Arabidopsis thaliana: one gene and its partners. The protein of the gene in region 2 purifies or fractionates together with the protein of the main gene of each other region. This does not show direct contact. Each region holds a gene or a part of one and is shown on either strand. Other genes may lie near its edges. The genes, in order: PDE345, MTHFR1, GDH2 and GDH1.

The links.
Region 1: the proteins of MTHFR1 (region 2) and PDE345 fractionate together in Arabidopsis thaliana (co-fractionation; one large-scale study listed by BioGRID). This does not show direct contact.
Region 3: the proteins of MTHFR1 (region 2) and GDH2 fractionate together in Arabidopsis thaliana (co-fractionation; one large-scale study listed by BioGRID). This does not show direct contact.
Region 4: the proteins of MTHFR1 (region 2) and GDH1 fractionate together in Arabidopsis thaliana (co-fractionation; one large-scale study listed by BioGRID). This does not show direct contact.

The regions. Positions count from the first base shown.
Region 1 is NC_003071.7:92,569-100,188, forward strand, and holds PDE345 (Aldolase superfamily protein), read right to left. Parts: upstream 4,296-7,620; 5' UTR 3,924-4,295; coding exon 3,768-3,923; intron 3,656-3,767; coding exon 3,386-3,655; intron 3,291-3,385; coding exon 3,181-3,290; intron 3,078-3,180; coding exon 2,438-3,077; 3' UTR 2,159-2,437; downstream 1-2,158. Other genes in the region: AT2G01130 (DEA(D/H)-box RNA helicase family protein), read right to left, coding at 1-3, 141-271, 357-516, 633-821, 961-1,056, 1,141-1,365, 1,460-1,547, 1,619-1,779 and 1 more. UniProt on the Arabidopsis thaliana protein: Plays a key role in glycolysis and gluconeogenesis.
Region 2 is NC_003074.8:22,146,189-22,154,983, reverse strand, and holds MTHFR1 (methylenetetrahydrofolate reductase 1), read right to left. Parts: upstream 3,821-8,795; 5' UTR 3,682-3,820; coding exon 3,219-3,681; intron 3,127-3,218; coding exon 3,044-3,126; intron 2,950-3,043; coding exon 2,776-2,949; exon of another isoform or gene 2,555-2,775; coding exon 2,381-2,554; intron 2,281-2,380; coding exon 2,180-2,280; intron 2,074-2,179; coding exon 1,962-2,073; intron 1,731-1,961; coding exon 1,650-1,730; coding exon of another isoform or gene 1,572-1,649; exon of another isoform or gene 1,555-1,571; coding exon 1,377-1,554; intron 1,166-1,376; coding exon 831-1,165; intron 741-830; exon of another isoform or gene 739-740; coding exon 661-738; 3' UTR 501-660; downstream 1-500. Other genes in the region: AT3G59980 (Nucleic acid-binding, OB-fold-like protein), read left to right, coding at 16-222, 313-456; histone-lysine N-methyltransferase ASHH4, read right to left, coding at 4,771-4,807, 4,915-5,005, 5,084-5,111, 5,194-5,344, 5,425-5,505, 5,601-5,772, 5,872-5,950, 6,026-6,125 and 3 more; AT3G59950 (Peptidase family C54 protein), read left to right, coding at 8,097-8,562, 8,637-8,722. UniProt on the Arabidopsis thaliana protein: The probable reversibility of the MTHFR reaction in plants suggests that they can metabolize the methyl group of 5,10-methylenetetrahydrofolate to serine, sugars and starch.
Region 3 is NC_003076.8:2,350,852-2,358,741, forward strand, and holds GDH2 (glutamate dehydrogenase 2), read left to right. Parts: upstream 1-4,907; 5' UTR 4,908-5,301; coding exon 5,302-5,409; intron 5,410-5,510; coding exon 5,511-5,624; intron 5,625-5,735; coding exon 5,736-6,032; intron 6,033-6,191; coding exon 6,192-6,308; intron 6,309-6,401; coding exon 6,402-6,652; coding exon of another isoform or gene 6,653-6,695; exon of another isoform or gene 6,696-6,737; coding exon 6,738-6,813; exon of another isoform or gene 6,814-6,888; coding exon 6,889-7,161; 3' UTR 7,162-7,390; downstream 7,391-7,890. Other genes in the region: AT5G07420 (Pectin lyase-like superfamily protein), read left to right, coding at 1-112, 356-515; AT5G07430 (Pectin lyase-like superfamily protein), read left to right, coding at 1,698-1,901, 2,044-2,322, 2,413-2,616, 2,719-2,957, 3,059-3,218; CYCP4;3 (cyclin p4;3), read right to left, coding at 7,567-7,846.
Region 4 is NC_003076.8:6,002,354-6,010,162, reverse strand, and holds GDH1 (glutamate dehydrogenase 1), read right to left. Parts: upstream 4,129-7,809; 5' UTR 3,992-4,128; coding exon 3,884-3,991; intron 3,646-3,883; coding exon 3,532-3,645; intron 3,423-3,531; coding exon 3,201-3,422; intron 3,111-3,200; coding exon 3,036-3,110; intron 2,956-3,035; coding exon 2,839-2,955; intron 2,763-2,838; coding exon 2,512-2,762; intron 2,431-2,511; coding exon 2,355-2,430; intron 2,282-2,354; coding exon 2,195-2,281; intron 2,101-2,194; coding exon 1,915-2,100; 3' UTR 1,603-1,914; downstream 1-1,602. Other genes in the region: AT5G18180 (H/ACA ribonucleoprotein complex, subunit Gar1/Naf1 protein), read left to right, coding at 558-696, 966-1,114, 1,202-1,317, 1,437-1,602; AT5G18160 (F-box and associated interaction domains-containing protein), read right to left, coding at 6,254-7,393.

The DNA of each region.
Region 1 (7,620 bases), on a different chromosome or scaffold from region 2:
TCCCTATAGTGAAGAAGACAATATTAGTAGTTTCACTGGGGTTAATCAGAGCATATAGATCCAAGGAATATTGAACTCAGCAAAAGATTAAATATCTTGAAATGTTCTAAAGAGGATAAACAAATATGTTTCTTACTTACTGGAATATAAATGACACCTGCCCCACCAAAGTATGACGAGAAAAGCTCCGCATCTAAAGTTGCACTCATCAAAATCAGCTTAAGCTCTGAGCGACGAGATAGCAGATCCTTAAGAATGATAAGAAGGAAATCTAAAATACAAAAGTAATATAGTAAGACACCTAAATCAAGTTAAGCTAAAAATGAGGAGCTGCTTGATAGCAAAAGTATACATACCTTCATTCATTCCACGCTCATGAATTTCATCCACGATAACATGAGTAACTCCTCTTAAATTTCTATCTACCAACAAGCGTCTCAACAAAATGCCTGTGGTGCAGAAGAGTAAGCGGGTATCTCTTCCTTTAACACCTTCCAATCGAACTTTATATCCAACCTTCACAAAAAAGTAAGAAAAAAGCAAGAGAGCTTAATCAGTAAAAAAGAGAGGAATTCAAAGTATAAGAAGGGTCCACGCTAACTAGATATAGGAGCATGCAGGGTGAAACTCACAGATTCACCCAACTGCTCTCCTCTCTCGTAAGCAACCCTCTCCGAAACAGACATAGCAGATATTCTCCTTGGTTGAGTACATATGATACTGGAAAAAGCTCCACGGTTTGCTTCAATCTCGGATTCTAAAATAAACTGCGGGATTTGTGTGGTCTTGCCGCAACCTGTTTCTCCAGAGATAACAATAACCTGCAATACGAAAATTTATGTGGGTAATCGGAACTAATACAAAACCAAGACGACCGTCAAGTTGATATTCGATTTTCTATTTGACACAGATGTCACACGACTGAGCTCAAGCATGCTTCCAGTTATCTTCTGTGCAGACCTGATTTTGTGAAATAGCTGTCAATACTGAATGCCTTTGCTTGAAAGCAGGGAGACTTGTACGAGAATCCAACATTCTTTGGCCTTCTACGGATGCCTAATCAATGGAACACATCAAAACTAAATGGACGATGAAAAAGCATAGATGAAGAATATATTAAGGACCTAATATAAACAGAACCTGCCAATATTGTTGTCGATCACGCAGCTGCAAACTCCTTTGCCAAAGAATTTTGGTGGCAGAGATGGGTAGTGGTTGCTCAGAAAACCATTCATCAGTACTGCTAATGCTACTAGTTCTTGAGACGGAATTGGCAGGGACTCTATCTATCCTATTAGAGCTTTTACTGAGGTATTCTGTGAGGTAAGCTTCAACTCTTTGAAGAAGGTCAGTATGCAAATTCACCTGTAAATATTTTTGTATATATCTGCTCTTTAAAGAAAAACAAGCCGTCTTGCGTTAAGTGTAAGAGAAGAGAGTGAGGAGCAGCGGATAATACCTCCCTCTGTGGCTTCTTGTCATCTAAATCAAACCTATAGTTGGGGAGTGGGATCTTACTGAAGACAACAACCTTAGCATATGCATGACTGCAAAAAAGAAACAGAAATGGTTGTACTAGTGAGAAAGAAGAAAGAAAGGAGCAGCATGATTGATGTACCTATACAATCCCAGGGTTGTAGCCAGAGCAGCAAGTTTATCAAAATCCCGTCTATCTTTTTTCTCCCTGGAAATAACTTCTTGCTTTAAAGAATCTTTCAAAAGCATTGAAAATCTCTTATTCCAATCATCCAAGTCGGCACAGTGAAAGGTACCCTCCTGCTGCAAATTGATATGGTTCCAGTAGAAAGATAAAGGGATTTTTATAAAATGCTACTCGAGAGCAAATCGAAAACTAGAATCGCCATTGTAAGAGCATCAATCAAAAAGCTCAGAGATGCATGAAAAAAAGATGAAGAAGAAGTTAACCGGTTGGCGATCCTCGGAAACGCGGTCATCATAAGCGGAGACATAGCGAACTGGAGAGAGAGGAACAGGATTGAAGCCGTAATCGGAACCAAGGCGCTGGTGAGGCGGAACGTACAGCGAAGGAGGAAGACGATTCGTCATCGGAGCCAAATTCAAAACTCTAAACTCTCTCTACTGTAAGTCAAAAGTAAACTATAAAGAGGGAGAGAGATCTCCGCTGCTTCTTCTAACACTGAACTTGCAACTATGCCAATTTTACCTAATCGCCCTCCAAAAATTTTGTAAACTTAAAAGAAGAATTACACAATTTGGTTTTGCAGTCAAACAGTAATCAGTCTTTCTGAGAGGAAATATAGATTTAAGAGGATGTTTTCACGTTGCTCACATACATATATGATATGATCGTGACTCGTGACTGTCTTTCTTTCTCAGAGACAAAACAAAAAAGGGAAAAAAAAACAAAAGACAACAATGGTCCTTAATCCTTATTACGATCTCTGAAATTAACAAATCAGTAGGTGTAACCCTTGACAAACATTCCTTTCTTGGCATCCTCGTTCTCTCCCTCGGCTGAGTATTTGCCGAGCTGGGCCAGTGAGTTGGCCTTTGCCCTCACCAACAGTGCCTTCTGCGAGGCCTCAATCTTCTCCGGCTTGCCTTGCCATGTTCTGAGCACGGAGTTCTGCAGGGCACGTGCGTATGAGAAGGACACATGCCATGGGTTTGGGCTCTGGTTCATGGCGTTCAGGTTCAGTGTGGCCTCTGCCTCTGATTGTCCTCCTGACAGAAACATGATCCCTGGGACAGCCGGAGGAACCCTCCTTTTCAGCATGGTGAGCGTGAAATCTGCAACGGTCTCGGGAGAGGCCTTGTTCTTGTGCTCAGCGCCTGGGGTGACCATGCTCGGCTTCAACAGAATGCCCTCAAACATGACGTTGTTCTGTGCCAAGTAGAAGAACACCTCTGACCACACTTTCTCTGCCACCTCCAGAGTCCTCTCTATTGGGTGGTCCCCGTCCAGAAGGATCTCTGGCTCCACAATGGGGACAAGACCATTATCCTGAGAGATGGCTGCATAGCGAGCCAGCCCCCACGCAGCTTCCTTCACAGCCAGTGCTGAAGGACCGCAGGGAACACTCACCACTGTCCTCCTAGACAAACACACACAAACATCAAAACTAGGAAGAGCATTTTCACATCAAACCAAAGAGTTAATACCATATGTAAGATAACATGGTGAAATATATGACATACCACTTGGCAAAACGAGCGCCTTGCTTGTAGTACTCAGCAGAGCGTGAGGCCAATCCATCCAAGCCTTGGCACCAAGACTCTTCGTTGGAACCGGCTAGGGGAGACAAGCCCTACGCGGTGGATTGCATTGTCAACACTTCACTCAACACACATAAAAACTCAACTACTTATGATGATGATGACAGAATAAATGGATAAAAAATACCTTGTCAACTTTGATGCCAGGGACGATGTTGGCATCGCGCAAGCAATCGACAAAGGTCTTACCGTCCTTGGTGGACTGGTAAAGAGTCTCCTCGAAGAGAATGGAACCAGAGATGTAATCGCCGAGGCCAGGAGTGGTAAGCAGAAGTTGCCTGTAGGCCTGACGGTTGTCCTCGGTGTTATCCAAGCCGATAGAAGCAAGCCTCTTCCCACAGGTTGCATTGGACTCATCGATCGCCAAGATACCTCTCCCAGGGGATGCAATGCTTTTCTATTACGCAATAATCAGAGAATCTCACTCTACGTTTGACTTTGAGAATTACGGAAACGAATCCAAACTAATAAAGCATCAAAGAGAGAGAGAGGATAAGGAGGATACTCACGGCGGTTTTAACAAGCTCGTCGGAGTAAGCACCGGCGCGGATCGCGAAGGAGACTCGAGGAGGAGGAGAAGAAGAAGCAGAGGTGTGAGCAAAGGAGCGTTGGCCGATCCATGGAGAAGAGAGGGTGTTAGGCTTAACGAAGCTAGCAGACGCCATAGGTAGTACAAGGAAGGTACAAAAGTGATGGTGATCAATCTCTCGGGGACTCCGCGGGACAGAGACAGAGAGAGATCTGGGATTTGGAGGAGAGTGTTAAAGCCAAAGGTTTTGTTTACTACTATTAGTAGTCGTCTACTTTGGCATCACCTACTCCCACCACCAAAAAGCCTCCTTCTCTTTACCATTTTATTCCCCAATTTACCGTAAATGACGCTTTTAACCTTGAGGGAGATACTGGTAATTTTTTCTAGTAGTTCATCAGTCTCTCAACAACAAGAATCTGAGAATAACCAAAACTCTACCGTTTCGTCTACCCAAACTATCCTTCTCCTACCATTGCCTCTTCGTCTAACTCAATCGTTTTTCTTAATTAATCAAATTACATGACCTATCACCTCTTCAAGGAGTGTGATGAAAGAGAATGGGCCGGATATTCCCTTTTTTATCTGTTGGGCCACAATAGTAAACAACTTATATAACAGGCAAACTCTTTTACGTAATTGATTTTTGGGCCCAATAGTAATAGGGCTTAGTTTCAGATAAACAATAAGAGCCCACGACAGCTTTGGTGTTCTTGGGTCTTTTTCTTTTTTTTTTTCCTTTTTATTAAGGCAACCATCCAATAAGTCCAAATATTGGTGTTACTCGTAACAGGCGAGGAAGGTGTAAACAAGAAGAGAGAAAATGCAAGTTCCGAGAAACGTTATATATATGCGACATGAGAAAGTGGCAACTTTTTCTTTCTTGTATCTTACACTACTTTTTTGTATTTTTAAAGTATCTTTGATTTGATAACAGTTTTCTAAAACTGTTGGCCACAATTTAAATGCATATTCATATGTATGTTCAAATTTACAGCAACTCAGTTTGACCCCACAAAAAAAGGGAAAAACAACAACAAAATTCAAGACTATATGACTAAATATGTTCAAGTGCTTCAATTATATATTAGGTACAAGAATATGAATATAATGCCAATCTTATCTTAATCAGAGTAGGAACTAGTAATTTTCATATTTTAAGACAAGTTTGAAAGTTGTTTTAATTAAACATGCGTAAAGTTCCATTCTCTGCTCTCAGATGAATGGCATATCGATCATAATTCACCTAGTACTTCTTCTAGAGTGTTCTACGCTGCCTCTACGTATTAGAATATAGTATATGTAAAAGGTGTTGGTGCAGATCTTTGATTAACACTTTGGTCAGTCACATATCTAATGATTTTTAAACGATAAACCCCAAAACGCGTCTTCATACAGTTCACATGCATATGTCACCCAGAAGAATTGACTCTCAGATCTTTCTAGGTGTTTGTGTTCACACTTCGCCACGCTCTCTCTGTTAGAAACGATTTAAATATACAAACAAAGCTAGTCAGTGTTTCCCATTCGAAAAAAGAGAAAAGACAAAAGAGAGTGTGTTATTTGTCTTGTAATGAAACCTATTGAGTATGGTTGACTGGTTGGTGCGTAGGGAGAAGCAGAAGGTGATAGGACCACGTTGTTGTTTATTTGGCAATTCTTTTACAAGCCCTTGGTCCTGTTTTCTCCATCTTCTCTACTTCATTTGTCATTTTCATTGTTTACTTATTAAATTTACATCCATGTTAACTATTTTCATTTAAACAACAACGTACGTGGACCTATCGACTGATCATCCCTTGGTCGACAAACAATGATGGATCGGAACTTGATTTGGTTTTCTTGAGTTATGTGAAAAAGCATCGCATTATCAATTTTAACAACTTTTCTATAGCTCTTAATTCTGTCTAGCTAATAGACCTATAGTTTCTAAAACAAATACTATAGTCTTGCAAGCCGCATGCTACCTAATGCAGTATATATTTGGATAATTTCAAATTGTCTTTATTATTTCCTCATATTTTTATTTAATTATTTAGATAATTTTTATTTATTGTTTTATGAATTTTCTAAAATTTTGGATTTATTATAATTAAGACTTTTGAACTTAAAATTGTATTCAGTTAATTGATTAATAAAATTAAGCTTTTACCTTTTCAGAGAAGAGTATTCTCTAATTCCTTGCTTTCGGTAGATCTTGAAAGATTTCAACGGTTATAAAAAGATGTAGGATTCGGTATTCGAAGAGAATCAACGAATTCCTTACGTTCTCTCGTTTCTGTTATTCTGAGGAATCAACAGATCCAAAAAATTCTAGTTTTCTGGTATTCCGAGGAATCAACGGATGTCTAGTTCTATCCATTAAAACTTCCGCTACTTCAGTTGGTATCAAAGCTAGAACTAGAGATTCGTTGATACACTTAACAAACAAACAAAAAAAACTTAAAATCAAAATTTGACACACACACCAAAATGAGTTACCTTTTACTCATTCATGTTCATACTATATAAAATATATTTTCGTCGAAACAATCACTCCTCCTAAAATATTTTAAATTTTTAATGCAAAAAATATTAGTTGTGTTTTGTTTATTTTATAATAAATGATTTAATCATATAAACAACGAGGATCGATAAGACACTCGCATGCTATTTTTACCAGGATTACATTAGAATGAGAGTCACAACCACATAATGAAGACGATCGTCTGCTAGCTATGTGACGAGAGATGGTAAGTGGTTTCAGATTTTATGATGTAAAGTGGAAGGAGTGGTCAAATAATTAGGTCAAAGAGAGTCGAGGTGGTTGTCACTGGTTGGCTATATCGATGACTAAACCACACACCTACACCTTCAATTTCTATTTTAATTATGTTTTCTGAATAACTTAATACTATCTTATATGATCGTTAGTAACAAATATTTTTTTAAAAAAAATTTATGTACATTCATAGGTAGCACGAAGTGAACAAATACTTGAATTTTCTTGCGTCAATATAGAACTAAGATCATACATACATGATACATAATGAATTTATGTTTATATTAGATATGCGTCACAAGGGAGACAAGAAGCGAAGCGAGGATCGTGCTAAAATCTTGGTCAAGTTCACAAATTATGAATTGCTTTATATATTAAACAATCTCTCACAAAGGATGGATAATTTAATTAGTTGGTTCCCTGTCAGTTGTTAATTAAGAATTAATCACAAACCGCCCACTTCCTTTTTATATTCCAAAAATGCTTCTCCAATGTTCTACACTTAAGTATATCATATAATTAAATGAAACTATGAATGAGTAAAATAATTGAAACATACTATTTAACTAGCTAGCTGGGGGATTTGTAAATAATATAACAAAGGTCGACAATTGATACTTTTTCCATGTTGGGAAATTCTGAAAACTGATCAATATATATGAGTAATCGACAAGAAAATAACTAAAACTTAGACTTTGAATGGTTATAGCGGTTTAAGAAGACAAAAATGTCTATATACCAAATCGTGTTTTATTTACTATTTATAAATTATATTATGTAATAGTGCGGATTCCAAAAAATAAAAAATAAAAATTGTTGTGGACTAACTACGAACCGTCTTTAAATTAAATTTGCAGCGGATTGTTGTTCGATCTAAAATTAGTATGGACTGAACCGCTAACGGATTAATCTGCACTAACCACAACATCCATTCAAAGACTTAATTATTTACTATCATGTTATATTTGTGGGGCATTAATAAGTGAAACATATTAATAGTAATTAAAATGAATGATATGAGCCATGATCTTAGGACTAAACATTGGGCATGCTAAATTGCTAATAATATCTA
Region 2 (8,795 bases):
TTTGGTTCTGTGCAGGGTGCATCAGTGGTGGTGCTGGCTAATCTGAAGCCGAGGAATATGAGAGGGGTTAAGTCATGTGGTATGCTTTTAGCTGCATCTGACGCAGCTCATGAAAATGTTGAGCTTCTTGTTCCACCAGAAGGCTCTGTTCCTGGAGATAGAGTTTGGTTTGGTAACGAAGAAGATCTCGAGCAGCTTCCTGAACCTGCACCTCCTAATAAGGTCATTTAGCCTGCAAAGCACTAATCATTTCAGTACTGCAAGACTTAAGTCATGGCATATTCAAGTTCTGTGTTTTCTTTGTTGTTTCAGGTTCAAAAGAAGAAGATGTGGGAATTGGTGCAACCACTTTTGAAGACAGATGCGTCTGGTGTTTCAATGCTTAAGGAGCATTTGATGCGGACATCTTCTGGTCTTGTTACTTCCAAGTCTTTAAGAAATGCCAACATTTCTTGATTTCTGTTAAAAGCTATTTTGTGATGTTGTTTTGACACAAGAGAGAAAGAACAAACCGCTAAGGCGATTTTTTTCATTGCAATCAAACTGATGTTTTTGTTGATTCATCAAAGTAAGGTTATTACGAATCAAAAATAACTTTAAAAGGTACAAAACAAATCTCGAAATCGAATGTTTCCTCTTCGCCGGTGGTTTTCTCGGAGATCAAGCAAAGACAGAGAAGATATCACCATTGATGTAATTGTTGTCCACTAAGCTTACCAAATAGTAGCTGTTCTTCACCTGCATATTCGATTGGATCATACCATCATCATTACAGCTAAACCAATCTGGTCACTGAAAAGAAGAGAAGAAAAAAGAAGAAGATTCTTTACCTCCTCGAGCAACTTTCTAGAAGGGTCATCTTCTGGGTACAAGTTAGCCCAGCTTCTTGACCAAATCTCAAACGCTTCGTCTTTCCAGACTTTGAAACTGGCTGGATCCACGATCGTCGGTTGAATAACCTCCTTAGCTGGGAACACTCCCCAAGTAACTGCATTCACATCGGACTCACCGGTGTTTGATACCCAATTCTCTGATTTGTTCACGGCCATGTAGGTGATAGAAGGAAAAGCTTTGGATTTCTCCACAAGTGTGTCTAACTTATCCTTTGAACAGAAGAACTCCAGATAAGCTTTCTGGTAGACGTAACCACCAGGACCACCCCATCCTGCAAAGTATCAATTGCAATTATACATTTTTGTTATAAGCCAAGTAGATATTCCCAATGCAATTTAAACATTATGTTATAAGCTAAGACAGAAGCTCTAGAGGGTTTAAATAGGTTTTTAAGAAATGACAGATGAATCACAAGTCAAATAAGATTTTTTTTTTTGGAACGTTATGGTATGCTTTGTGATCACAAGTTTGAGTTTTCTTACCAATAGCTGGAGAATCGGATTTGGCTGCATTGACTGATGGTTGGCTATTAATGGTCAGGAAACCGTTGGAGTTGATTTTTCCGAGTTGCTCATTTATGATCTTTGTCTCTGGCTGGAGTCCATCTAATTCAGACCATGGGCTGCTTTTTAAGTTTCCAATGCAGAGCTCTTTGAATTTCTGATTTGTGACAGTTTTTACATGAAAATGTGCAAGTGAGTATGAGGGAAAGAGATCGAAACAATTTGTACGAGTGTCCGTAAAGTAAAGCCTACCTCTTGAACATCTTCAATGCTTTTCAGTGGGACGACCCATTCTTGCTGAAGCTTCTTGTCACGTCCTTTTGGGCGCGCAAACTATCAACACATGCATTTATATCAGCACTACTCATTGGCAATGAAAAACGCAGAAGAGATGGCAAGCAAAGCAAGCAGCTTCTTACAAGTGATAATGGTAGGGCTAAATAACAATATGCAAATACAATTTAAGCAAATTGAGAAGGCAAACTGAAAACAAGCCTTTCAGAATTCAAGTTTTCAAAATATAAAGTCGATATGTCAGAAAACTGATAAATATGTGGTACGTACCTGATAATCCGAAAGTGTACTGTATGCTGCACTGTGTGAATCACCCCAACGTCCATGTGGGAAGTCATTCCAGCCCTTTGTTCTAGATATGTAGCTCTTTGGACGGTTTGCCCTGCAAAGATAAAAAATGAAGTAACAGTATTATTCCTCCGCAAATATATCTTAAAGTTAAAGATCTGTAATAATACTCCGAGCAAGAGAAACAAAATGCAGGTTACCAGAAAATTGGGCGAACATCTTCCTTAGTACGGAAAACATTTGCAGGGCGTCTCCAAGGTAGAGAACGAGAAATTTTTGACTCATCAATCAGACCAAGGTTCTGCAATTTGAGCACCACTGTTAGGTTCTCCGGTATACACAATACCATGTGTTAAATATTACTACACAGAAACCAATTTAGAAGGAAATGAGAAGAAAACCATTAATATCCCAATAGCTGATTTGTCCACGTTCAATGTGTAGAGATGAAGGGAAGTGATTCCATGGGCCAAAATCTTTTTGCACATTTCTGTTGCAAAGTGAATTCCATAGGCTTTAACAGCCTCGTCATTATCCTTAATAGGCTCTAAGGCAGCAGTGAGCTCAGCGGGTATCTATGCAATAATAGAATCATGAGTGGAATATAAATCAAAGAAAAATGATATCTGAACACATTAGTCATAAGGCATCATCACCAAGGGTCTATATATATATCACCAAGCAACTAGATAGATGCAGTAAACTCAATCTCATCTTAAAGCCTTTAAGCACAAAGACGACATGTGTCTACAGAGCAAGCCATATCATCACACAGATGAAAGAGATCACAACATACCTTGGTCTTACAGAAACCAGCCATACGCAAGAACCCCTTGTAGTTGGAAATAGGCATAATTCCAGGAACAATGGGACAATTAATCCCGATTTGCCGACAATCATTCACAAACTTGAGGAATATATCAGTATCATAGAAAAGCTGAGTCACAATCAAATCTGCTCCAGCATCAACCTGTACCACAAGCCACAATCCACTAAACCCATCAAATCAAGACAACACAAACAATTCAACACACAAAATTCAAAACCAAGACACAAATCTGAACCTTTTTCTTCAAGTAAGCAAGATCACTCTGATAAGATTCAGGAGTAGCAAGTCCATCAGCTTCAATAACATCCGGATGAGCCTCTGATTCATAACACACAAATCCCCAATTAGAGATCAAAATCACAACAACGAAACCAACAATGAAATTGATTAAAAGGGAGCATTTTGATTACCAGGATAACCAGCAACAGTGATTCCAAAGTAATCACCATACTTGCTACGAATGTGATTCACCAGATCCAAAGCACAAGCAAATCCTCCTTCAACCTGAACAAACTTATCTTGTCCATGAGGAGGATCTCCTCTAAGAGCAAGCACATTCTGAATTCCATTAGATCTAATCGTCTCAAGCGCGTGATCAATCTTCTCAATCGGCATGTTGGTACAAGTGAGATGCATCATAGTCTCGACGCAGATAACATTCTGCATCCTAGAAGCAATCTCGAGAGTGAGATCAGCTGTGGATCCACCAGCACCCCAAGTGATATCGCAGAAGGTAGGTCCATAAGAGACCAATCGATCCATTCGTTCAAAGAGATTCTCGACGCCATCTTCTGTCTTCGGTGGGAAAAACTCGAAGGAGAAAGCTGTTTGGCCTTGCTCCGTCACGGATTTGATCTTATCAACCACCTTCATCGTTGAATCGAAATGAGATCCAAATCCAAATCCAGATTCGGAATTAGATAGGTAGAGGAAGTGGTGGTGGAGAGGCAAGTTTGGTCTCTCTGGTTTGTTTACTCACTCATTTATACTAATCTCTAAAAATGAAGATAGAGATCCAACAACTTTGGTGGTAACTGGTAACCGGTAAAAACTTTAGATAAAAAATTATATTATCAACATTGTTGTTTTTCTACACATCTATTTTGAATTTTCCTTTTTCTAATTACATAATATTTATCAATGTAAATATATTTTCAACAAAGAAATCCAAATTTAGCACAGCATTTCTGTTATCACGTTTTTTTTCTCACATTGCTATCACTTTTTATTGTGCTAAATACATATTTCCTCACTTTTGGAATTTATCTTTTCCATAATAGTAATTTTATCCTTTTCCTTTACAAAAAACTAGTTTTTATATTTTTCTTATTTTCCAACTAAACATAAGAAAAAGAAAATTTAGTTAGGTAGGTGAGCTACGACCCCACATTACCTACCACCGGTAACGGCAAATCCACTGTCGGTCACCGGCGCGTGGGTATCATCCGCTACAACGGACAGTAGGCTAGTGATATAGCAGCATTGCCAAGGAGAATCACGTGCTTAACAAACTCGAGTTATAGACAGAGCAAACCGGGTATGAGATTTTTTGTCTCTTAAATAACCAAAACCCCGGTTTAAAATCCAAAAACACTTTTCTTTATTTGGTCCAAAGATTCCACATACAGTGTAATGTACTACTGAACTACTGATTCAAGTTGGATACATACAACAACAAAGTCTAAACCTATTTGCCAACCGACACGGTTTGGTTGGTTACAAAATTTCTTGACAATTCAAGTGTAATCCTATGTAAGGGAATGAAATCAGACTTGGAACAGTCACAATATCAAGCAGTTACAACCTTCCAAACTTCTCTGCACATGTCGATGATCTCGGTAACACCATCCTCATACATGACCTGGACAAAGTCAATGTTCATTCTTTAGATTTCGTAAACTGAGATAGAATGTGAACAACAGTGTTGGCAATAAGTCAAATGAATAGATACCAAGTGCTTATTTAAAACTCATCATATTGTGTAATGATTCCAAAACACCTGAAAAATGTCAACTACTAGAGTCAAAACCTTCATCTGAGCCGTGTAATACTGTTCTTTGGTGTGGAAGAAATTGGTTTTTGAGAAAAAAAGAAAGATAGTTATACTTTTGGTTCATGGGACGTGCTAACCAGATCACCGCACCAATGCAGTCCCGGCAACATATTTTCCTCTGGCTATGATTGTTCCAAGCTTGTCCTGACGCATCCAAATTGGTTTCTCTTACCTCTGAATTGAGAAGCTTGTCGATAATCGAGCCAAATAATTAATACTAACCAGCAATGCGTCTCCCTCGAGTTTTTCCCTAACCATATGTTTGAAAGGACAAGTTACTGTTTAGCAATCACAGGATGACTAAAAAAAAGTAAGGCAAAGCTCAAATTTACCTTGGGCGTTTTCCAGGTCACTTTACATGCCACTGGCTTCACAGCTTCTTCTAAGGTTGTGTTCTTAGTTTTGCAAGGTTTTGCACCTAGCTTTTTTCTGCAACACACTGCACCACAGTAGCAATCTTGATCTGCACCAAACTGAACAAACCTGCTATATTTATTAGTATCACACAACTAAACATTTACATTCAAATACTTTATTGTTGTGATGCAAGGAAATGTTCTTACTGGTAATCGTAAGTCAACTGCTCGCCTTTGTTTATGAAACGGGTAGCAAAAATGCCGATTCTTGTCTCGCCATCAATTATCCTAAATGGGAACAAAAAGGTTCATGATCTATAACTTTGCTCAATTGTTTTGAACAGAAGAAAAGTGAGAAGATGGATAATAAGTTACAAACGAACCATTTCTGCATCTCTGTGTTAGGACTGCAGCTGTGATTGATGTATCTTGATTTATTACCCTTGTGAGTAGCATCAATCACCATGTTCCAGTTTATCTGACACAAATAGAAATTTGTCTCGACCTTATGATTCAGCTTCCAAAGCCTTTCTTCACAAATCTTGTCGTCAATAACTACAATAAGAAATGGATATAAGAAGATTGATAAGAGTAAGCAGAGTAATCACAACAGTACTCTAACTATATATGAGAAACCAAAGGTAATAACATCACCTTCTCCCACATATTCAATGATAAACTCTCCTGAGTTGATATCTTCATCTGCTACAATCCCATATCCACATTTCTCTGTCTGCAAGCAACAACTTATTCAACTAACGTTGAAAATGCATTCTTTATATAAGACAACAAATTGTAATAAACCAACCTGAACTAACTTCATCTTCTTGATATGTCGTTGTTGGAACGGCTTGTTGGTGCATTCACTACTGCATTTGCAACTAGACGAACAGCTTGAGAGTAGAATCCTATACATCAAGGAAAAAACCAACAATACATCAACAATCAGAACCAATGCCGCCACGAATATTTAGTCAGACAAGTACTTGTGATCAGATATGGAACATACCCACAATTGCAATCGCTGCCACAAAGAGTTGAAGAACCAGGATCCAAGGAGCAAGAACAGAATATGCCATGATCCTTAACTTTCTTCTTGAGTTTCTTCTTCAAGTATATATCTTAAAACCAAGCTCGTCATGTGAAAACAAATAATATTCCACAGTTTTGTATGACAAAAAAAAATAGCATCTTGTGACAACAGAAAAGGATACTGCGCTTGATGAAGATAGGCTTCACATTATTCAACCGATCCGGAGATTCAAGTTTCTCCAATTCCCCAATCTGCTTTTTTAACTTCCTCAACGACTTCCTGATTTGATTCCGATCGGAACCCTGAAATCAGAGAAAAACTAAGATCATACGAGAAATAATTTCATAAAGAGAAGAAATGAAGATTGTGAATCGAACGTAACCTTCTTCGAGGAAGACATGGCAATAGACCGGATTAATTGGGAAAGATCTAAATTTGATGTTGAAACTTTTCAAAGCCTAATATTTGAAGAGAAGAAGAAGACGAGGATGATGATGAATTTGTAGTGGCGGATCCGATTTGCAGAGAGTGAAAAGACGTAACGGAGAAAGAGCGGCAGTTGCTGTTTTTCCTTTTGAGGATTTTGAAATCCTTCTGCGCAAAAGGCAATAAATCGGCTTAAAAGGGTAAAAGAGTAATATCGATTTATTTCCATTCATCCGTTTAAAGACATAAATGGGCTTCAGATTTTTGGACTGGCCCAATACAATCAAACCCATTTTGTTTTTGGTAACAAAATAATTAATTTATTACTAGTCATTTGCATTTATTCCAGACAGTTATATCATTCACAATTGGTAACTAAATAATTACTCCTTTTTACCGTAAAATTGATATTCTGTATATCAAGATATTCAACGCACAAGGAATTTTTTTGAACAATATATTCGATTTGCTTTACTTGGTTTAAGTCGCCGGTAAAATTTATTTGGTTTAAGTCGCCGGTTTAATTTAGTTTAACACTGATACATTTGACAAATACGAACTAGTGACAAAATTATACTGCCAATGGAAAAACATATTCGAAGCTAATATAAAATGTAATGATCCATATTCGAAGCTTAAAAGATATAATTACGTAAAATAGAGAAGAGAGAGAGAGAGAACACGAAACTTTTATTTCGTAAGGTTACACGAAATCGATCTTCCGCAATTCAAACTTCGTCTCCGTTAATTCGCACTCTCGTTCTCGTCTTCGTCGCCGGAGGTCGTATCAAGTCAGCCTCAACGATCCGATTTGTTTTTTCAGGTGATCTATCTTTATATTCTGCTAGAAATTCCAAAAGTTGTGAAAATTTCGTTCCTCGGATCGGATTATGAAACTCTCTGCGTTTGTTTAGTGATTAATCGAGCTCTTACTCTTGTTCCTTTTGATTCTTATGCTTTCTGGTGTATATATACGAGATTTTAGTTGCCAATTTTATAGTTGACTGATTGATCATTTGAGATTACTGTAGAGATCCGCCCTGGAGAAATTGCGTCGGAGTTCTTTTACTTATTGCATGATTGTGTCTCGAATTTCTATTGCTGCTGTGGATTTCTTCATTTTCGAGATTGTGCATATCGGATTCGAGTACCTTTATCTTACTCGTTGTGTTCATTAGATCATCTTTGATTCCTAAATTCGATTTTTGGGGCATATTGAAATGGAGTGTAATAGTGAGATTATAGAAGATAATGCATTAGCTCACTTTGAGAAGTAATTATTAGAGGTATCTCTGTTCAATTTTAGCCTGATCTATTTTTATCTCTTATGCTTTATTATTGCAGACAAAGGTTGATTCTCTGGGTATGAGTTTTCTTCTATGAGACAGACATGTTGTATTTGGTGCTTAATGACTAGGTAATGAAGGCTATATGTGATAGATTTGTTCCTTCAAAATGTTCTTCATCAAGCACAAGTGAAAAGCGTGATATATCATCCCCGACATCTCTAGTTTCAGATTCCGCGTCTAGTGATAACAAGTCAAACTTGACGTTATGCTCGGATGTGGTTGCCTCTTCCTCCCCAGTTTCTCAACTGTGTAGGGAAGCTTCAACTTCAGGGCATAACCCAGTTTGCACCACACATAGTAGTTGGACAGTTATTTTAAAAACAGCTTCTATGGCTAGCGGGGCAATTAGGAGATTTCAAGACCGTGTATTAGGGCCGAGTAGGACGGGTATTTCCAGCAGTACTAGTGAGATATGGCTCCTGGGTGTCTGTTATAAAATCTCAGAGGGTGAATCCTCAGAAGAAGCAGATGCTGGCCGTGTATTGGCCGCATTCAGACAAGATTTTTCATCCTTAATACTGATGACATATCGTAGAGGTTTGTATGCTCCCCCCCCTCAAACTCAAACCAGCATAAAACTGTTGACAGAATACTCACTGTGGCATTTCCAGGTTTTGAGCCTATTGGAGACACAACTTATACTAGTGATGTAAACTGGGGTTGCATGCTTCGAAGCGGCCAGATGCTCTTCGCACAGGTAGTTATTATTATCATTTTGCTGGAGGCTTCAGATTTCTTAATGCATGGTCTAAAATTATGTATCTTTAACA
Region 3 (7,890 bases), on a different chromosome or scaffold from region 2:
ACTTGGGTAGGGCTTGGATGAGCCACCCTAAGGTCGTCTACTCCTACACTGAAATGTCTAGTGTCGTCAACCCATCTGGATGGCAAGAGAACAGAGTGCGTGCGCATGACAAGTAAGTGTATCAATTTCACATTATATGATTATGTGATAAGAAACCAACACTAATATATAAGCATAATTTAGTCATTTCCAATTGAGTTAAACAGTCATAATTTCTCACATAGAGATATTGCAATAGTTTCAGTTTGCCCCAAAAAGAAAAGATATTGCAATAGTTTTTACAAGTTTAAAATGTGATTTGTGACAGTGCGAACCAACCATTAATAAGTAATATTTTTTATATAATGAATGATAGGACGGTGTTCTATGGAGAATACATGTGCACGGGACCAGGATCACACAAAGCGAAGAGAGTGGCACACACACAAGACATTGACAACAAAGAAGCTAGCCAATTCCTTACCCTCGGCTACATCAAGGGCTCCAAATGGCTTCTACCTCCTCCCGCTTACTAAACAGACCCAATCATCACTAAAATTCTGTATATGTTACAATTGTACGTTTTGTTTTCGAAGTATCCTCTCTTCCTGTATATAATGGAGGAGTAGAGACTTGTGTAATTTTGGTTTCATGATAATAAAATACTCAATGGTTCACAAATGAGAAGCGGATAAGAATTCAAACATACTGATTATTGTGCATGGATAGAGTGACGCGACTGATTAATGTTATGAATGACAGTATATTTGTATGCGAAATTGCGAACACATTAACTATAAATATTTTCTAGTTAATGTTAAAATGATTGGGGACAATTTCTAAACAAAAAATAATATGGACATTACTTTCTATCATTTTTTATGTTTGATATTAGAACTCGTATTTTGGTAGAAAATTGTTAACTTGTGATTTAAAAAAAAAAACTGAAGAATCACATTTTTAGCAGATGGTTGTGAAATTACGTTTTTGGTTAAAAATTGTAGATTCACAATTTTGTAAAGGAAAATCACGGATAGCTTTTTATTGGTGGAACATTTTGTAATCTTTTTCTATTATTATAAAAACTTGATAATTGACATTACCGGTCTAGTAGAAATAAAACACAAAATTTGAAGAGATATATATAAGTTCGATCGAAAATCACGGCCAAATGTGGGAAGCGTCATTGACGTAAAGCAAATCCAAATTTAGGAAGTGTCATTTTAATTAACATTGAACTACTAACCACTCCTGTCATGTCTAGCAAATTTACATTCAAACATAAATTGTGGTTTAGGTCCTTTTCAGGTAAATCTATAGATAGATATATAGCAAATTAACAACATAGTTCCTTTTGGATGAGTCAATATTCAACATGTTGATTTTGCCAACTGTAAATTTTCCTTTTCGTTGATGGTTACAGATGAATGTGCGAATTTATCTCCATTCAAAATTACTGAATTTGTAATAATAACAAAATCAGATATTCAAAAATGCTTCAAGAAATATAAACCACAGACGAGAATAGTAAAAATGAGATATGTCCGGTCAGAGATCAACAAGCAAGACAAGTATAAAAACCCCTTCAAGGCTTCTTCATTTCTTCCATTTTTAAAAGTAAATAAGATAGTAATATTAACACTTAGTTTTTCTTTTCCTTTTCATTATTTTCTTTTATTTTGTAACAGAAATAAAAGAAAATAAAAGAAAATAAAAAGATGGGTTACATTTCAATGTCCGTGGTTGCATTCCTTGTTGTTTTTGCTTCGCCGGTGGTTCTAGCCACCGATACAGATCCGATTCCAGAAAACAGAGCCCAAATCCCGCAATGGTTTAAAACAAACGTTAAACCATATTCCCAGAGAAAGGGCACGCTAGACCCCGCCCTCGAAGCTGCTGAAGCAGCGCGACAAATTATCACCGTAAGTTACTAAAATCTGATTTTTGGTTTGGTTCGGTTCATATCGATTTGACCGAATTAAGTAGGCGTTGTTAAATTTTTGCTTATATGAATAGTTTACAAATGTATGTTAACTCGAGTGAAAAATGAAAATCTCATTGCAGGTGAATCAAAAAGGTGGCGCTAATTTCAAGACATTAAACGAAGCTATCAAGAGCATTCCGACAGGAAACAAGAACCGTGTGATCATCAAGTTGGCTCCTGGTGTATACAATGAGAAGGTCACAATCGACATAGCTCGACCATTCATTACATTGCTTGGTCAACCTGGTGCGGAAACGGTCTTGACTTACCACGGGACAGCCGCTCAGTACGGAACCGTTGAGAGTGCAACTCTTATCGTCTGGGCTGAATATTTCCAGGCAGCTCACCTCACCATTAAAGTATGAGAAGCATATCTATATTCGTTATACGTTACTACATTACGTTAGAGATTAATCGCTACTAATTAATTTGATTTTGTTATACTATAGAACACTGCTCCAATGCCGAAACCAGGTTCACAGGGACAAGCTCTAGCAATGAGGATCAACGCTGATAAGGCAGCTTTCTATAGTTGTAGATTCCATGGTTTTCAAGATACTCTCTGTGACGACAAGGGCAACCATTTCTTCAAGGATTGTTACATCGAAGGAACTTATGATTTTATCTTTGGAAGAGGAGCTTCCTTGTACTTGGTAACCTTAAAATTAAATATTAGACATCTTTTAACATGGTACACATATATATAGCATTTTTTTGATATTAATAGTACATATATTTGTATGTAAACTCGATAGAATACGCAATTGCACGCTGTTGGAGATGGATTAAGAGTGATCACAGCTCAAGGTAGACAAAGTGCAACCGAACAAAACGGATACACGTTCGTGCACTGCAAAGTCACTGGAACCGGAACCGGAATCTATTTGGGCAGGTCTTGGATGAGCCACCCTAAAGTCGTCTATGCTTTCACAGAGATGACCAGCGTGGTCAATCCATCTGGCTGGAGGGAGAACCTCAACCGCGGATATGACAAGTACGTAACATTTCATATCATCTCATTTACATATAGAACTACATTTTATATATATATTTGATTATAAACTGAATTTGATATTGTGTGTTGTATAAATACAGGACGGTGTTCTATGGAGAATACAAGTGTTTCGGACCAGGGTCACACTTAGAGAAGAGAGTGCCTTACACACAAGATATTGACAAAAACGAAGTTACGCCTTTCCTCACTCTTGGTTACATTAAGGGCTCCACATGGCTACTTCCTCCTCCTAAATACTGAAATTTTTCTTAAGACAACTTATTTGTTGTAACACCGTTCTTTAATTTATAATTGAAATGTTCCCATCTTTTTAGTTTCTTTATTTTTTTTTTGTATTGCTTAAGATATGAATTGATCAATATTTTTTCTACATATATAAATCTTCCAATTCATTCATTTCTATATATACCGGATGTTTGTGGTGTTTTTGTTTTCCTTTATTTAGAAATTCCTATAGGATATATATACAAAATTTGTTTTTGTAAAATATCATAATTATGTTCACACCCTATTGAGTTAATGATTTGTTTTTGTTTTTCTTATGTTAAACGTTCATGGTATATATGTTTAAAGTACCAACAAAAAGAAAGAGTCAATGTCTATCCATGATATATATGCTTTTATTAAACATTTTGATTATTTTAACCAAAAAAAAGTAGAACACACACATTTTCTAGATCTCATCATTTTAATAGTTCTAGTTGCAAATGTTAAACTTCAATATTTTTCGTATATATATGAATCAGCTTCTTCTTTCTTTAATTTTCTCGGCGAATTAGTATATTTTAATCCATAAGAGATGCATGCATAAATTTTATTGAATTAAGTGAAGACCCAATGGTCAAAAGAAAAAAAAAATATAGATATGCACCGACGAAGCCGCCGCGAGTAGCCGCGTCACAGCCAGGTCAGCAAAAAGTCGCCATCCAATTAAAGAAGAGAAGGATAGCAACTTCTGCAACGTGTTCTGCTGAGTCTGACTTAGATTCGGAATCTGGTTCTTACGATTTAATGACCATCCGATTTTCAACGGCTAAGATTGTTTAGAACCATTAGTACAATATTGTCACATCCGCAGAGAATCCACGCCCCTAAATGAGCTTTACTTCCATGTTTTTCGCATCTCCTCGTGATAACATCGACGATCAATTTTTTTTCTTTCACGTTTTGTTGATATATATAAATACGTTTTCGGAAATGTTTTAAATAAATATTGTTGGTCATATTCTATAGTATATTCGGATTAAAATCATTTTTAATTTCACTAATTATGGAGAGATATTCCTAAAATGCCTTAGTATTTAAAGAATGCGAGTCAATTGCACTAGATGCATGTTTTTATTTTGTTTCTAACGTGGACCTTATGTAAGCAGGTCTGAAGTTTATCCACAATTTGCTGTACTAATTGATAACATTTGTATATGTATTCCAAATATGAAATGTCATTAAATGTCTCATAAAAGTGATAATACAATACTGTATTTGGGAAAAATAAATGAGTCATACAACATAGTAATCAACAAGGTAAAAAGTCATATAACGCCGTCCCCAAAAACAGTCTGTCCCAGCTCCATCCTAATTGGGTATCCACGTCCCGATCCTGTCACAGGACACCAGTAAGAAAACGGAAACCGAAAATTTCAAGAAACCAATATCGTTTTCTTTTCCTCAATTAAAGTTATAAAAAAAAAAAAATCCCTGAAAATATCACATGGTTTTTTAAAACAATTAGTGTTAAAATCAAAATTTACTACCTTCTCCACCGTTATTTACGAATTTACCATGTTGGTATATTCTTAAAAACTTTTGTAGTTCTTGTAATTACTAAATTTTTTTTCCGTAATTTTTTCGATTATTATTTATAACTTTCCAACTCAAGCCAATATTTTTTTAGTAAATTTTAAAGGAATGTTAATCTTCTAAAGATATGTTTGACTTAAAAAGGAGTTAAAAATGATGAGATAGCCAAAAAAAAGATTAGAGAAATCCAAATAAATAATAAGGGGTAAAAGAGTCATTGCAGTCGATAATTAGTCTCCGTCTGACGTAGGATACGTCAAAAATATCCGATCTCATTCAAATTACGCTTTCTCTTCTTTCCCCTACAAATACTCAATTCTTTCTTCTTCAATTCATCACAACAAATCAAAAACTCCAAGTTCTTACCTTTTTCCCATTTACAATCGGTAAATTTCTCCGATCACGAGATACAAATTTCACTTTCTGATATCTTGGATCTTCCGATCACTTTGAATTTTTTGGTTTGTTGATTTTTTTTTTTTTTTTGTTCCATAAAGTTCGAATTTTTTATAGAGAAGAAACCATGAATGCTTTAGCTGCAACAAACAGAAACTTCCGTCATGCATCTCGAATCCTGGGTTTGGATTCGAAGATCGAGAGAAGTCTTATGATCCCATTTAGAGAAATCAAGGTTTGACTTTTTTTTTTCCTTTTGAGGTTTTACTCTTTTGTTTCGTTTTTGGGGAAAATTCGTCTCAATCTTTGTTTGGATTTTTTTACTTTTGATTTCAGGTTGAGTGTACGATTCCTAAAGACGATGGCACTCTGGTTTCATACATCGGATTTAGGGTTCAACATGACAATGCTCGTGGACCCATGAAAGGTGGAATCAGATATCATCCTGAGGTAGGGTCTTTTATCATTTGTTCTTGATCTAGGATTTAAAGTTGACAACTTTGGGGGTTATAGATTGAATCTAGGGATTTGAATTAAGGGTTTTGATTTTTTGGTTTGAAGGTTGATCCAGATGAAGTTAACGCACTAGCTCAGCTGATGACTTGGAAGACTGCTGTAGCAGATATTCCATATGGTGGTGCTAAAGGTGGAATTGGATGTAGTCCTCGTGACTTGAGTTTGAGCGAGCTTGAGAGGTTGACTCGTGTGTTTACACAGAAGATTCATGATCTTATCGGTATTCATACCGATGTGCCTGCTCCTGATATGGGCACTAACGCTCAAACCATGGCTTGGATTCTTGATGAGTACTCCAAGTTTCATGGTCATTCCCCTGCTGTTGTCACTGGAAAGCCCATTGTAAGGCTTTTAAGATTTTGGTTATATCATTCTGAGTCCGGAATCTGTTGTTTATTCTATGGATGTTTTCTTGATTTGAATTAATTCGATGTTTCTATGTGATTACCATAGTTTTGAGCTTTTTGGTATAGAAGTAACTGTTGGATCACTTTGGTGTAGGATCTTGGTGGTTCATTAGGTAGGGAAGCTGCCACAGGTCGTGGTGTAGTATTTGCCACCGAAGCTCTTCTTGCTGAGTACGGGAAATCGATTCAGGGTTTGACATTTGTTATTCAAGTAAAACCATTATCAGCTAATCTCAGATCTCAAGCTTTATTGTGTATATGATATAAGACAGAAATGTTGAGAGATTTGGATGATATGTGACAGGGTTTTGGGAATGTTGGAACATGGGCTGCGAAGCTGATCCACGAGAAAGGCGGTAAAGTGGTTGCAGTAAGCGACATTACTGGTGCAATCAGGAACCCTGAAGGTATCGACATCAACGCTCTCATAAAACACAAGGACGCAACTGGAAGTCTCAATGATTTCAATGGTGGAGACGCTATGAATTCAGATGAATTGCTCATTCATGAGTGTGATGTTCTCATTCCATGCGCTCTTGGTGGTGTCCTGAACAAGTCAGTTCAAAAACTTCACTCATCAAATCAACACCAATCATAGAGATTCACTTTCTGATTCTTATATTTCCCAATATTTGTTCAGGGAAAATGCTGGAGATGTGAAGGCAAAGTTTATAGTAGAGGCAGCTAACCATCCAACAGATCCAGATGCTGATGAGGTAATGCATCGATAACACAAGAACTCATCCCTGAAACTCCGAAAATAAAAATCCTAATCTGTTTGGTTTTGGCAGATTCTGTCGAAGAAAGGAGTGATTATACTTCCAGATATCTACGCAAACGCAGGAGGAGTGACAGTGAGTTACTTCGAGTGGGTGCAGAACATTCAAGGATTCATGTGGGAAGAGGAAAAAGTGAACTTGGAGCTGCAAAAATACATGACTCGAGCCTTTCACAACATCAAGACAATGTGCCATACTCATTCTTGCAACCTCCGTATGGGAGCTTTCACTCTTGGAGTTAACCGAGTCGCTCGAGCCACCCAGTTGCGTGGTTGGGAAGCTTAATTCAGTTGAATCCCCCTTATATACTCTGTTTCTTGCTTGCTCTGTTTTCCATTTTTTTTTTTTTGGTTTCATTGTTACTGAAAATCATTGAGCTTTCCGAAATGGAAAAGGAAACAAATGGATTGAATAAAAACTAACAAATTGGAATAAAATATATGATTGGATTAAACGAGAGTTTCAAAGCAGAGGATGAAATATTCCAGGAAAAAAAAAGCCCAAATTTTAGTTTCATCAGTTGTGTGGCTTGCTACTTCATTATTATTATTATTAAAACACAAATAGTGAAACCAAAACATTTATTAAAATCGGTTACATATTACTGGAATTCAATTTGAAGTTCTCAAAAAAATTGTTACATTTCCGTTAAAAGGTTCCATTTGTTAGATGATCTAGTATTCCAATGTATCAAACAGCACTGGTGACTTGACTATTACGATGATCTTCGTCGTACAAATTCTTTAGAAGATTCTTATGAAAACTTCTAACTAAAAAAGCAGGTTCCAAAAGTGGAGAGTACATCGTCCTCATAACCATCTCTCTTTGAAGTGAAGAACAATAGTCATTATAAGTAGAAATTGTCACATTCAATTGGAATCCAATTCCAAATAAGAAGTCCAGCTCTAACAAGTTCATCTCCTCTGTGGTTATTCCTCCAACTTTCGCATAGAATGCATTATTGTAACACCTATATTTTATAAAAATTCAGATAATATTTGTTAGAAAATTGTC
Region 4 (7,809 bases), on a different chromosome or scaffold from region 2:
AATACGATCAAGAAGGTAACGCAACCTGTTTGTTAAATGTAATGAAATGGATGCGTGTTCGTATGTATGTAGAAGTATAAAAGGATAGAAAAGATGGTAACAGAGAAGTTGAATTAGTTTTAATAGAAAGTTTTGAGGGCTTTTTAAGCCTTCAAGTGTGCTTACTTTTTGGTATCACTTGCCTTGTTTGAGTCTTTGTTTCAACTTTCAAGTGTTTAAAATAAATGAAATGTGAGAAAGCCAAACCAAACTTAAACCGACATAAGCATAAATAAATAAAATAATATCTCATTGTTATTCAAATCTTTTGTTAAATTTTTACAAAAATTATTGACAAATTTACTAAAAGAAAATTTTATCTCTTCCCGGTTTAACGAGTCGTAACCCGGTCTGGGATTGCTGAAAACCCTAGTGGTTTACCTTCTTTTTTTTCTTTTCGTTATTAAGAGTCACAACTACTTCTTCAACACTCCAATTGGCAATTGCTTCCCTCGCTGAAACCCTAAATAAAAACCTCTGAGGAGCAGAGAGCGATAGAAGAAACCAAAACCAAAAAGATGAGACCACCACGTGGCGGCGGCAGCTTCAGGGGAAGGGGAGGAAGAGATAACGGCGGACGTGGACGTGGACGTGGACGTGGACGTGGACGCTTTGGTGGTGGTAATTATGACGAAGGACCTCCCAGCGAAGTCGTTGGTTCGTTTTCAACCCTCTTTGACGATTCTCTCATTCTTACCAATCAAGCAGATAAAAATTATTGAAAAAAGTTGTCAGCTTTGACATTAATGAGCGTTTGTTGCTGAAATTTGACAAAAAGAAAATTTTTGTATTCTGATTGATGATTTGTTTTCCTGTTATTAGGATTTTGTTGGATTCTTGTGACAGTTTTGAAGTTAATTGAAAAGGAACAAACTTGTGAATTGTCTCTGTTATGATAGAGTTTCTTTCTTGGTGGTGTTATACAGAAGTTGCAACTTTTCTCCATGCTTGTGAGGGAGATGCTGTGTTCAAGCTCTCCAATGTGAAAATCCCACATTTCAATGCCCCAATCTACCTACAAAACAAGACCCAGATTGGGAGAGTAGATGAAATCTTTGGTCCTATTAATGAATCTGTATGTGTTATCTCTCTCTCTCTGTTGTCTTCTTCGTTCACTGGCCTTGCTCACTAATATACAAAGCATTGGTTCTTACTTTTTCAGCTATTTTCTATCAAAATGAGGGAAGGTATTGTAGCTACCTCATATAGTCAAGGCGATAAGTTCTTCATTAGCCCTGAGAAGCTTTTACCTCTATCAAGATTCCTTCCTCAACCAAAGTAAGCTACACTTCTTAACCCTTGTTACCAATTCTTAGGTCCCTTGAAGTAGTAGAAGAAACTTGTTCAAGTGTTAGAAAAAGTCTGTAACGAAAGTCTTTGTTCTGTTCTTCTTGCAGGGGACAATCAGGAGGCCGTGGTGAAGGAAGAGTCCCTCCCCGTGGTAGAGGGCCTCCCCGTGGTAGAGGCAATTTCAGAGGTAGAGGTGCTCCCAGAGGTGCTAGCAGAGGGTTTCAACCAAGAGGTGGTCCTCGTGGAGGCTTCAGAGGCCGAGGGAGGGCCTAGATTCATATTCTATAGCCTTAAGCTATCTTTAAATTGCTTTTTTTAAGAACCATATTGATGATAACTGTTTTCTTGGTTCTAGTTTTTTGATACCTTGGTTTTATTAACAAGAGAGTAAAAAAGCTCATTAACTATTAGAGTCCAAGGTTTTATTACATACAGAAGCGTCTTCTAGTACTTGTAAACACATATCTGTTAACTCAGGATGACCTCTAAGCCAAAGTAGGAGGATAAAACAAAAAGTAGATTAAAGTTTGGCTCAATTCTTATTCAGGAGCTGCTAAAGAGATTGCATAAGAGATTAGATAATCTTTAAGCTCCCCAGCCTCTGAGAATGGTAGCTTGAGCCACACGATTAACACCGAGTGTGAAAGCTCCCATCCGGAGATCGCAAGAGTGAGTTTTGCACATCTCTTTCAAGTCCTTGAAAGAGCGAGTCATGTAAGTCTTTAGCTCATCGTTCACCTTCTCTTCCTCCCACATAAAGCCTTGAATGTTCTGCACATTACCGGAAACAACTAATCTGATCAAAATCGGTTTTGTTCGAGTACTTGGTCTGTCAAAGGTAAGTTGTTGAGAGACTCATACATACCTGAACCCATTCGAAGTAACTTACAGTGACTCCTCCAGAGTTTGCATATATGTCCGGGAGAATAACCACACCTTTCTTACTTAGGATCTGTAATACAAGAATCTCCATTACAGAGATTCGCAATGAGAAACTCCAAAGTCAAAGAAGAAGACAATCAAACCTCATCCGCGTCCGGATCAGTTGGATGATTAGCTGCTTCTATGATGAACTTTGCTTTAATCTCATTCGCATTCTCCCTTCAAACCAAAATCCAACTAATAGTTTTTAAAAAGTTTCAAAACAATATGTAAGCTTTTGTAGCAAAAAAAAGCTCTAACCTGTTGATGACACCACCAAGTGCTGCAGGGACGAGGATATCACAATCCTCAACCAGTATGGAGTTTGGATCGATCGGATCTGCACCATCAAACCCTTTGACACCTCTGTGTTCTTTAGTATGCTTGAGCAAGGCCGGGATATCGATACCATCCTTGTTCTTGATTGCTCCGGTAATGTCACTCACGGCAACAATCTTCCCACCCTTTTCACTTATCAGCTTTGCCGCCCAAGAACCCACATTACCAAATCCCTAATGAACCAATATGTAAACCAGAATAAGAAAAGTTTCTTTGGCTCGCAGGAAACCGCAATAAAAGAAAGGTCACCTGGATGACAAAACGCTGCCCTGATATGGTCTTTCCGTGCTCGTTAAGCAAAGCTTCGGTACCAAACATCACTCCTCTTCCAGTAGCCGCGTCTCTCCCTAGCGATCCACCAAGATCCTGGTTCATAAACATCATTAAACATTCAGGTGGTTAAACCAGTCATTAGCAAAACAAGATTGTGATTATTCTTTACTTACAATGGGTTTTCCAGTCACAACTGCAGGCGAGTATCCATGAAACTTAGAGTATTCATCAAGAATCCAAGCCATTGTCTGCAAATTCCACCAAGGGAAAAAGTTGAAAGATGGTTTCAAAAAAAAACACAGAACATTTTGGAAACGTTCTGAAGAGAGTTTAAGAACCTGAGGACCAGTGCCCATATCTGGAGCTGGAACATCAGTATGAATCCCAATGAGATCATGAATCTTCTGAGTGAAAACTCGAGTCAACCGCTCGAGCTCGGAGATACTGAGCTTGCTAGGATCACAACCAATCCCTCCTTTAGCTCCTCCGTAAGGAATCTTAGCCACTGCTGTTTTCCATGTCATGAGCTGAGCCAATGCGTTCACTTCATCCGGATCAACCTGCAAGAAAACGATAACCGGTTTGCATCATATACCAAAACCGAAATTGTATACTGGTTTGTTACATTTGAGTTTTGGTTCAAAAGGTCAAAGTCAAAAGGTCAAAAACCTCAGGATGATATCTGATTCCACCTTTCATGGGACCTCTTGCATTGTCGTGTTGAACTCTGAACCCAACGAATGATGCTAGTGTACCATCGTCTTTCGGTATGGTACATTCCACCTACAAAAATACCAGAACCGGTTGATTTAAATTGGTTTGTTCCGGTTATATAATTCAGCAACCGGATTGAAGTAACTGGATCCACAAAAAAGCGGGTCGGGTTTCGAAATGCCCCTAAACATTCAGTAATCATTTTTCACTACAATCCACCGCGACGAATCGTCTCCGGCGCCGGCGAAGGCACAAAATCAGCGGATCAAGGTTAATTAGGTTAAGAAAGGAGTGAAAATTTGCGAACCTTGATTTCTCGGAAGGGGATGAGAAGACTTTTCTCGAGCTTAGAATCCAGACCAAGAAGCCTAGCAGCTAACTTGAAGTTTCTGTTTGTTGCTGCTAAAGCATTCATGGCTTCTTCTTCTTCAACTTCTTCTTCTTCTTTTTTTGTTTCTCTCTGTGTACTTTGAACTTTCACTGGAGTTTTGATCAGAACGCTGTAATAAAACGACTGTTAAAGAGGAAGATTGGTGTCAGTCTGATTGTAACTTGTTAAGTGTGTATGTATTTATTTATACACAGGCACGTGATCGATATGTTTGGGTAAGATTCAGTGGAGGTCCAGCTGATTACGGTGGAGCTGATTAAGTAATTTAATTACAAAAAAAGACAAGACACAATAATCATGGTTTAAGCCTTTAAGTGGGTTTTAGATATAATTTTGATAAGTTAAGACAAACATACTTTAAGATAACTCGAGAAATTTTTTTCTTTTTTGAATCAACTAATTAAATCTTTACCAACTAACTGTCTATCTGTTTAATTTCTGGAACAACATGTACTTTTGAGTTTAGTTGTATAATTCAACTAAAATATACTTGTGTTTATTTGCAACTTGCCTAAAATTTGAGATCAACTAGACTTAAATTCTTTGGATGTTTTTGTTCCTATTTACGGAATTACGGTTGGATATGTCGACATATTTGAGATGTCATTGGAAAATTTTCCAATTATATAGTTTGGGAAAACTAAACATTGTGCTATGTATTGTCAGAAAAATAATCTCGCCGAATAAGAACATTCTCAAAACGTTACATACTACATGTATATTATATGGCATCTTATGCTAGATATAAGTGAAATTAGTGGGGAATGTGACACACATAATCTTTTGATTTGGAGAGATATGGTTGCGTCGTCATGTTCGCATCAAATCGGGATTTCTTTGATTTTTCTAAATTGGTGTGTGTTGACTTGTAAACAATCTTATCCACTATGTTTCTTTTGTTTTCCCAATTAATATGCTTCCATTTACATGTACGGAATTCAAAATATTAAAACTTTTGTTAAAGTTTGTAACAAGATAGAGTTTAATTCGCAATAAATCAATTACATTTTGCTTTTAGCTAGGATACAAGTACAACGACTGTTGTTATTTCTTCTGGAGGCTAATGCTATTGAAACATTTTGATTTTTCAGTCTTATCTTTCTGTGATACGAATTTGGTCTTTCATTATTAGTGTTTGTCAGTGATGGTGTTGGTGGTGAAGTCACTGTAGGAGACAAAGTTTTTGTAAGAAAAAGAAACAAAAAGACAAGGCTTGTGTGTTTTGACCGATGCAGCCTAGTAGTAGCTTAGGCTTCATCTTTTATACACGTATTGTAGAATCTTGAGCTCGCTTATGAATGTTCTACATATCATCAGCTGGAAACTAAATGCCATAACTCCTAAGGGATTGAGTAGATAGCATAAATGTAGGCAATAGTCTTCAGAGCAGAGCCCACATTGTTTAATAAGACATGCATGTTTAGGACTTACGATATATTCAAACTAAAGAAAAATCAAATTATGACAAAGCCCTTCAATGTGAACGGATAATCATAACAAGAAGAATCTATCAGAGAATCATAAACTTGCATATATAATTAGCTATGTGTCATTCTTTGGAAAACAAAACAGAACCCTTCTCAAAATCAGTTGTTATGAATTATGATTATTGGTCTCTCACATCCAAATTGAGAGTAAACTAGATAGTGTTATAACACTAATATGTAAGGGATGTTATTACATTCATTACCAAATGTTATTGTCCTGAGGGCTCTTAAAACTGCTAATAATATCAAAGTTCATGACACAATAAATTCACTAGCATTAGTAATAGACTAATAGCGCCCAAATTTAGCCAAGTCCTCCAATATCAATGAATTTGTGGCTATCCAGGCTAATCTTTTCTCATAAGGTACCATAATAAAACCACTATATTGGTCAATTTTACAGAGATCCATGTCTCAAAATGTTGAATTCATACTGCAAGTAACTAAGGCTAATCTTCGTATGCTCTAAGCTCTAATCGTCTGAGTGAAGATTTCAAGTACTTCTTCTGTACTTGTTTAACTTTAGGACAAAAGTCTCTTTTCTATTTTTGAGAAAAGGATCACATGGAAATTGCTAGAAACAGAACAGAGGAATCGTAGGTTCAATCTCAAAAACACATATTACAGTCTCTCCATGTATAGTTTTATAAAGTTTCTATTAAGTCTCTAGAATATGTAGTATCATCATTAAAACATATTGGGATCTCCAGTGGGATCAATCAATCAGTGGATACAAAAAAAGATCTGAAGAACACTTCAGAAATATATAGTGTCATTCCATGCAAAAAGATGAAATCTCTTAAAACGAGATGAAACTCTCAATGTGATTTGGTAATACATAAAAGTCATTCACAAGATCAAATCCAAGTCTATCAGGTTGCCAAATCTGGTTATCCGCAATTCCTTGAAACTTGGTTTCTCTGATATTGTTTTTCTTAGGATCAAAATACACAACACAGAACGATCTATTCAAACTAAATCCTGTGTAAATAAGCTCACCAGCATCAATAACACCCTTCAGACTTGTGTTGGGAGGAAGACATAAATGAAACTGTTCATACGACCATTTTCGATTCCCTGCATCCTCCAAACTCCAGATTTCAACAACAGAGCTAGTGGAACTTATCAAAGCCAACCTTCCCTCATAAGATACCATAAGAAAGCGGTCATAATTACGCATCGGAAACTCAATATGTGTAAACTCTTCATATCTGAGATCAAAGCCAAATATAACATGCCTTGGAACCCTATCAAATATAATAGCTTTATAGTAGATAACTCCATTAATGCATCGTCCAGTATCTTTAGTAGGCCAATGTGTATAGCCAGGTTTGGTTACTCTCCATGATTCTTGAATTTCCAATGTAAGAACTTGAGTGTTCCATCCTCTGACAATGCACAATGCTTTGTATTTACCCTCTATCGGTTCATATCCCAGAAACCCTCCTACGTTGTATTCGTCACCGGTGCCTTGAGGCTCAGGTAAAGGGAAGAATCGTTTCAAAGTAGGGTTACAAATCACGAGCTGTTTAGAACCTTCTAAGCAGATCAAACCGTGGACGGAATCAAGACGACGGATGAAACCATTCTTGGGGATTTCAATGTGATAATCTTGCACATGAGAATAAGTATTCTGGTGTTGGGGAGACGAGAAAACGATCAGCTTGTCGTGTTTTCGGAAGATTAGTAGAACACAAGGTGGTGATGTCTTCTTGGACCGATGCTTGATGAACTCTGGTGTGGTGGTAATGGACGACCAGAGCTTAGAGACGGAGCGAGATCTGACGATTGATTTCGCAGGAAGTCTTGAGAGTATCTCAATGGTTATGTCGAGAGGAATCGAGTTTGACTGAGATATGTGATTACCATGTGAGCATCTTGTCGTCAATGTAGATGAAGATTTTGTTGTTCCCTGCTTCTTCTCGTCTTGTTTGTCCATGGCCGATCGTTCCACAATCTTGCTTTCTTAAAATTCACCTAATTTGTTCGTTCGTCTTCTTTAAGTTAACGCTTATTTGTTCTTCCGTCTGCTATACTACTAAATATATAAGATGAATTAGAAAGAAATAAGGTAAACTTGAAAAGGAAAAATGGAAAAATCAAATTATATGTAAACTTGAGTTAGAAAGAAATAAGGTAAACTTGAAAAGAATAAAAGGCAAAAACAAATTATGTTAATTGTAATTATCCAAATTAATATTTCATAATTTCTATTTTATAGTTTTAGATATACAACCCTTCAACTTCCATTTTTTTTTGTAAGGGTAATTAACAAAAGTGTTTGTATTGACCGTTTGTGATTTTCTGCATCCTCCAAATTTAGATAATTCTACTTTTTAAATCTGAGATCAAAGC